2 linked regions of the Medicago truncatula genome follow. The protein of the gene in region 1 interacts with the protein of each later gene in a pairwise test. Links are inferred from orthologs where the notes say so. Each region holds a gene or a part of one and is shown on either strand. Other genes may lie near its edges.

Evidence for each region.
Region 2: the proteins of preprotein translocase subunit SECY, chloroplastic (region 1) and inner membrane protein PPF-1, chloroplastic interact in binary tests that used the Arabidopsis thaliana proteins (3 or more experiments, as listed by UniProt). The link is inferred for Medicago truncatula from reciprocal best matches to the Arabidopsis thaliana genes SCY1 and ALB3.

What each region holds. Positions count from the first base shown.
Region 1 is NC_053043.1:26,124,343-26,128,271, forward strand, and holds the start of preprotein translocase subunit SECY, chloroplastic, read right to left. Parts: upstream 3,083-3,929; 5' UTR 3,045-3,082; coding exon 2,875-3,044; intron 2,798-2,874; coding exon 2,290-2,797; intron 703-2,289; coding exon 403-702; intron 320-402; coding exon 230-319; intron 87-229; coding exon 1-86. UniProt on the Arabidopsis thaliana protein: Involved in protein export. Probably interacts with other proteins to allow the translocation of proteins across the chloroplast thylakoid membranes. Required for normal greening during embryogenesis. Central subunit of the protein translocation channel SecYE.
Region 2 is NC_053045.1:31,731,269-31,735,197, forward strand, and holds the start of inner membrane protein PPF-1, chloroplastic, read right to left. Parts: upstream 2,337-3,929; 5' UTR 2,210-2,336; coding exon 1,895-2,209; intron 1,233-1,894; coding exon 1,122-1,232; intron 939-1,121; coding exon 864-938; intron 739-863; coding exon 678-738; intron 525-677; coding exon 451-524; intron 354-450; coding exon 249-353; intron 1-248. UniProt on the Arabidopsis thaliana protein: Required for the insertion of some light harvesting chlorophyll-binding proteins (LHCP) into the chloroplast thylakoid membrane.

The sequences.
Region 1 (3,929 bases):
CTTAAACCAGTGAAACGTGCTAAAGTACCAGGAAGAGCTAACGATGATGTAGAAAATATGATAGGCATTACCCCAGAACTATTGACCTGCCAAAATAGAACATCTACATTGTCAAATTTGGAGGTTTATTGTATTGTACTCTATCATATGCATAATTAAAAGTTTATCAAATACTATTCGTGTAAGGTACTACAGTAATATAAAAAAGGTTGGTAAAAGATGAGAGGACCTTAAACGGTAGGTAAGCAGATTTTTCAAGTCCACCGCTTTTGCTGGTGAATCTAGACGCGTAGTTAATAGGAATTTTTCTCTCTGCTTCCTGAGAATCATCAGTGTTGCAATCAACATCTCTCAGTTTGTTCAAATACTTCTTTATTATTTAACAATTGAAATGAGATTTACCTGCACATAGACAATTCCAACTACCAACAGAAAGAAGGACACGATGATGGTAACAAGTCCGACATAGTTGGCATCATTAAATGCTTGTGCAAATGTCCGACCAAACGAAGCTGGCAAGTAAGAGATAATGTTTGTGAATATCAAAAGAGAGGTTCCATTCCCAAGTTTCAGGTCAGTAATTTGCTCCCCAATGTACGTTGTAATCACGGAGCCAAGTGTCAATAAGATAACAGAAGTAAGAGCCCACTCTGTTGTAAAGTCATTTACATAGGGACGCAGGAAAAGAACTTGGCCAATCGCCTGTAATGAAAATTGAAGAACAAAAACAAAATTATAAACTGAAAACAACAATTAGTAATAAGTGTGATGTAAGTGCTGGACCTAGCTATCAAAAAGCATGGATGTTCAAAAAACGATCAGTGGTCGAGCTGCAGTCAAGTGTTGTTTTCCCTCATTTACACTTCCCAAGAAAAATGAGATCTTGAAAGCATACAAGTGAATTTGTGCGTCTAAACTACATATTGATGGATATTATATAACCAAGAGTCATTAATAGGACAATTAATAGTTTCCCTAAATGCGGTAAATTATTTTTTTGAAGAACCTAAACGCAGCAATTACAAAATAGAGGAGGGATATATCGACTCCAAGAGTAAGTCTTTAAAGTTACTCTAAATCTTAGCCCTTGATTTCAAAATTAATTAATGGTTATGATTGATTACTACTAATCCCTAACATAAAGCTTTTCCTACTCCTTCTTCCTTAATGTCCTAGCATTGGTGAGACGAAAATTTCAACTAAATAGTGTATGCCTTTTAACATTATCTCAACAAGAACAATTTTTCATTCATTATCTCAACAAAAAACTTTGAAATAATGAAGGTACTGAGACCTATGAACCTCAAAGAATAAGAGATCCACACTTATGAACCTGCATATATGCCGTCAACCTCAAAGGGCTATTTGAAGGACTCATATAATTCGGTGTGATACCTTTACGAATCATTCAATAATTTCTTGCATATCAAATTTTCTAATTAGGTTTAAATTATCTCCGTGAATAGAGAAGTAAAAAAAAATACATTCAATTAACGGCATATTCTTTTATCAAATTCAATAAAAAAAAATCTTCTTGCTGAGATGATATTGTCCAAGGCACACAACATTGTGGCACGAATAGGCCATTTATTTTAGATTTTCGTTTCACCAGTGTAGTCTCATGGGTTGTTTAAGAAGAACGAATAGAAAAAGTCTTATGATAGGGATCAGTAGTAATTGATCACAACCCAGGGGCGGAGCCACCACCCGGCGAGCTCGGGCACTCGCCCGGGCTCAATCGTTACTTTTTTCATATTACGCCCAACCAACCCAATAGTCCATTAACCCACTAAAACTTTTTTTTGTTTGGGCAAACTCAATATTTTCACATGCGCGCGCACAAGAATTCTTCACTCTAATTTTTGCCCAGACTCTATAAAATTCCTGGCTTTAACATAGGAGTAGAAAAAGTATTATGATAGGGATCGGTAGTAATTGATCACAACCATTAATTAATCGAGGACTAAGATTTGGAGTAACTTTAAAACTTACTCTTGGAATCAGTATATCCCTCCTCTACAAAGTAATATAGAAAATACAACAAAGAATCAATTTATTGTTACCCTACCCTGTTTTCATTCTTTCAAACAGTCATCCTCAAATTAGAGCATCTAAGTTACTACTAGTATAACTAATTCAAAGGCTTATTCGTGACCTAGAGAATACATTTTTCACTTGACTATTTGAATTCGTGAAGAAAGGGATAATATCTCAATACAAGATGTTTTGATTTATGTCATTGATTGACACTTTTTCGATATAACAAAGTTTGCAATGTAAATTTCTGACCTGTACAATGGCGAATCCAACAGAAGCATATCGAGTGTACTGAAGAATTTTCTTTCTTCCAGCCTCACCTTCTCTTTTCTGAAGATCTTGCAACTTAGGATATACTTGAGCAAGAAGCTGAAAAACAATTTGTGCATTGATGAAAGGAACAATACCAAGAGAGCATATACCAAGTCTACCAATACCACCACCAGAAAAGGAGTCTAGAGTGCTTAACAAACTATTTTGATCCAAATTTCCAAGAAAAGCCTCTCTGTTAACTCCACCTAGAGGTATATACACACCAAGCCTTGACAATGCAAGAAACCCTAAAAGCTTAAGAAACTTCCCTGGCAGAGGACCTTTGAAGAAGTCACCAAAATCAATTGAACTATCCTCTATTGCTGCTGCTACTCCTCCTCCTCGAGGTTTTTCTGAGCTCTCAAACAAACTCACAATATTTTTCCATGTAGAAGAAGAAGAAGAAGAAGAGTTAATACCTAACGGGTCGAAATTCGCTACGTCACAGCTGCATACAATCCATTTGAAAATGAGGCAAAAATGGATGATCAATAAAAATATACAAACAGACAGATTTGATTTTACCTGGTAGAGAGATGAGGTTGAGTGGTAGATATTCTCCGGACAGAGAGAGTGGCTCTGCAAATAGAAGAAGAAGAAGAAGAAGAAGATGGTTTTGGTATCAGAGGACGATTATTAAGCCGAACACACCACCGGGGAGAAGGGGAAGCTTGTTTTACGGTTATCAACATCATTATCCACAACCACTTCACTTCTTCCCAACAATTGTATTGTAAATTGTAATATCTCAACATTATTATTAATTAATTAATTATTAAAATAAATAAATTTTGGAATTTTTATTTTTTTACATATTCAAATTTTACTCGTTTTTTAATTCCAAAAATATATTTTGCAATTTGAATTTTATTTTTTGTGAGTTAAACTCATAAAATAAATTTTAAAATTTTTGGAAAGTGTTTATGAAATGTAAAATATATGGAAAGTTAGATATCATGTTTTTAATCATGTTTTTCAAGTCGCAAGATTTTTTTCTTGTAGACGATAAAGAAGTTTTTAATCATGTTTTTCAAGTCGCAAGATTTTTTTTATTTTTGCACGGTGCCAAGGTCACTGAAAAGTTTACTTCTGACCTACCTCCACAGCCTCGGAAGGTTCCCGCTGGTGGAGAGAATAAAGCTTTTGCTTTCAAAACTTCTTCCAAGGATAGGAGCAAAGGCAATAGTGAGGAGCCTACTACGTTCACAATGCACAACGTACATAGTCCCTCAAGTTCTAGCATTTTCGGTCGGAATACTCTACCACGGTTGACAACAGATTCGATGAATTTGTTAAGACAACAAATGGATGAGAGTAACCACGAAATGGTTAATTCGTTAACACAACAAATTGGTACCGTGTTTAATCCTTTGATAAGGGACACAAACCGGAGTTACCAAGCCTTAACCACACAAATGAGGAGAATAGCATATTTCTTTGCACCCCCGCAATCAGTTTACCAACCGGTTCACAAATACAAAATCAACAACTGTTGCGGTTAGTTGAACCGATGGTTCAGAGGCAACAACTTGTGCCTCAGCCCCAACCGGTCGAACCAATAATACAAGGTCAACCTGAAG
Region 2 (3,929 bases), on another chromosome or scaffold:
CACAAATTGCTACATTACTAACTATGAAAAGAATTTTTATCAGCAATTGTATTGTACGACATACAATTTAGAATTTTATTGTTTCAGGAACCATGACTGGGAATAAGCTCCAAAAAAAATTATTGTTAAGAGTAAATAGTGTGATGTCTGAAAATCATAGTGTTTGTGTCACAGACTCACAAGTACAAGGAAAAAGAAATAGCCAAATGCAAAAAAATTATTTCGCTTATGAGCAAAGGATAACTTACCACAAATGGAAAAAGCCAAGAAATTCCAGATCCACTTTGTCTAGCAGCAATGCTAGTGGGACCACCGAGAGAAGGGATCCATAAGAAACCTTCTGTTAACAGTCCCTTCAAATTAAAAGTTTTCAATAATTAGCAAAAATCATGTAGTTGTAATTCGTCTATCAAAATCTAAAATTATAATAGTTTATATACCATTAATTACCTCATTTGCCACATTAGATAAAGCTTGGTATAGACCAATCCAGACGGGAATAGTAGCCAAAGTCGGTAAACAACCTATAAAAAATGATAAAATTTCCTTCTATTAAGTACAGCCCAGTTATGATATTGCAAATATTTTGACATCATATTATCACATGTCAAAGCATTATTATACAGAATCAGAGCTGAGAAGAAAATGATAAAGGCAATAGTAAGATATAAGTGTACCTGCCAATGGGTTAACCCCAGCTTGGGTATATAGCCTTGAAGTCTCAAGTTGTATTCTTTCCTTGAAATGAGGGCAATGAAATAAGTAGTTAGAAACAACCATGCTATCATTTTAAGGTACAAAATCAATATTTACTTAAGATTAAATTGGATGCTTAATAAGTAACAAACAGCAACACCCCTCACCTGATTACCAGCATATCTTTGTTGAATGGCCTTAATTTTAGGTTGAAGGTTTTGCATAGCTAGTGTTGATTCAACCTACATGTATTAAATAAAGTCAGAACTTCATTTCATATAACTGAAAGAAAAATCCATTTATGGTTTTTTTTTTTTCCAACTGGCAATCCATTTATGGTTTGTTTGTAATGTTTCAAACGAGGTTATCATAATTTCATGGTTTCAGTAAATTTGCCTATAGAAATTGTTGTAATTTGTACTAACCTGTTGCTTTGTCAAAGGAAGCGTAGCCGCCTTAACAATAAGAGTGAGCAATATGATAGCAAATCCATACGAATAAGGCACATGCACGGCAGACAAACCATCCTTTAATATCTGAGTAACAACAAGCAAAACATTTCCTGTTATAAAATGCAATCCTCCAATTTTATTACAGGAACGTGGAACATTTGTAGGTAGATTTTTTTTCCTTTTTATGGCTATTTTACATGATAACTCTAAAGCAAAAGGGTAAGGGCCAAGTCCATTGAAACTAGAAAACCATTCGAAACAAATAGCATTACTCTTTCCATTTATACGTATACATTTCCATATAACCTAAAAAAAATACACAAGTTTAACTTGTTCAATCAAATTAACAGAAAAAGTAAACAGTAAGTTAGTAACACTGAACACTTTCCCTGCAACATATCATTTCAGGATAAGAAAAAACGGTTCAATCTTCTAAAAAAACTCAACAACCTCAATAATACAAGTTTCATGAATCAAAGAGCAACAAATCCTTTTATAGTAAGGTCATGTTTGGATTGACTTATTTGAGCTTATTTATTGGTATAATCACTTATGAGACTGTTTGGAAGATCTCATAGAAACAAATTATTACATCTCCCAAACTGTTTTCAACTTATTTTCATAAGTTCGGTTTGATTTTATTTCATATATTTTCTTTGGAATGAATTATAAACAAAAATTAGTTAAATTACGAATATTAAGAAAGATAATTGATAAAATTAAAAAGCAGAAGTTGTGAAGATTACCTTAAGAACAAACTCCATACCATCGGAGATGAAACCAAACCAACCTCCGTTCTTCTGCACAGTAACATCCGTGGAAGTGGAAGTAACCGCATCGGCCGTAACGGCGGCATCAGCAAGCGTATAAAGAAGGCCTTCAGCTCTGGCGAAGACACCGGCAACATCAATAGAATGAGTTAAGGATTGAATTGGAGGAATTTGGTGGAAACTGAAGTGAACTTTGGTGTATAGTCTGGTGCGGTTAGGGGAGAAGTTGCGGTGAAGTGAAGGAAGTGGAGTTCCGATGAATGATGGAGATGAAATCAGTGTCTTCGCCATGGATGATGAGAAGGGTGATAGAGAGAGGCTTGAAGGGCGAAGGCTTCAGCTTCTCGTCACAGAATAGAGAAAAGAGATGAGAGGATATTTTTTTGCTATTATCCGAATGAAATGCATTTTGTTTTGCGAGGTAGAGACAACTGCACGATATGGGTAGTGGAAGATTTTCAGCCAGCGACTGTGTGACACGTCATTACATATTATTACCGGTGGTTATTTGCTTCTTGCAATTTTTAGTCAAAAAAAATGTTATTTGCTCTTGCAATTTTTAGTCAAAAAAAAAAAAAATGGAAGGAAACGGTGTTCAATTAAAGAACGATGACTTCAATTTTAGATAATTTTTTATTTTAAAAATATTCACATACATAGAAAACATTACATTGTAAACTTGTGGCATAACATAAATCAAATTATGGAAAATAATAAAATCTCAACGAAAACAACTCCAGATAGTTTGTCACATTGTATTGAGCTACTCTAAATAAAAATTTAAATGTCAATCGCATAAGTGTTTGACTTATTCGTAACTAAATTAAATTTAAGTATATTGTGATGGCATAATGTTGATAACTCCTTCGCTCCGTCTTCACTCTGCTCTTTATATTATGCGTTGTCCAAATCAACTAAGGTCACGAAGACGTCAATCTTCTCTTTAAGCAACACCATCTCATTACCTACACAAAAAATTAAACAAATACTCATAAGAAAAACATACAAAGTGACTAATTATTTCAAGAATATAATTGAATGAAATAAATATCTTAAATATAAGTGGCAATCATCCTAACAACAATCAACATATTAACAAACAAGTGCGCTAAGATTAACGCAAGACGACAATAAACATGGTATGCAAGACTTGACTCGTGTAATCTAACAACATCTACTCCAACATTTTGATTAATTTTACTAAGTTAATGCAAGCCGAGAAGCCAGCATGTCGAAGAGGATAGTCTATTCACAATACATGTATCAGTAAGATGGTCAAAACGCCCCACGATGCTTGAAAAGTTTCAAATTACTTAATTTTATCTATATAAATTATGACAGTTATTGACTTGTTATGCAAGGAACCTGATGATAATCCTTCAATTTAGTCTGAATATTAGATAGCTAGATCATGAGTGGAAATTCATGTACTATGATCTTGTTCAAATGCATTTTTTTAGTATTAAAGAAACATGAATAAAGATCCAAGCAAAAAGGACAAGAAGATCGAGTTCATGCAATTCGCTAGGCGAGCAGAAAGCACACTCCCGACGATTGTCACTAAGATTGGAGTCTTGAAACGGGGCACCATTCAATGTGATGTATTCCAATTCTCATAGTGAATTCTGACAGATTAGTGACTCATGTGAATGAGCTGCTAAAGATTTCAAGGTAAAAAAATCACAATTCTCTTGCCGAGCATACAATTCGTCTAGCAAAATGTCACTTTCAAAAAACTAAATAAAGAGGAATCAGTCACATTGACATTGTTTGTCATTCTATCACTTTGGAAAAGGAGAGAAACGCAAGGATAATAGAGGAGCAAGTCTACAAGCAAGGCAGAGCATTACAACTTGAAGAATAAAGTGTTGACGCAACATCCTCTCTCGTTTCATCTCTTTGTTGTAAGTTACCATGACAATCTCTAACTAAAGCTCTCGTTGTTTTATGATTAGGTCTAGTTAATTACGATTTTAATGTAAATACTTGATATGACTAGTTAAATATAACT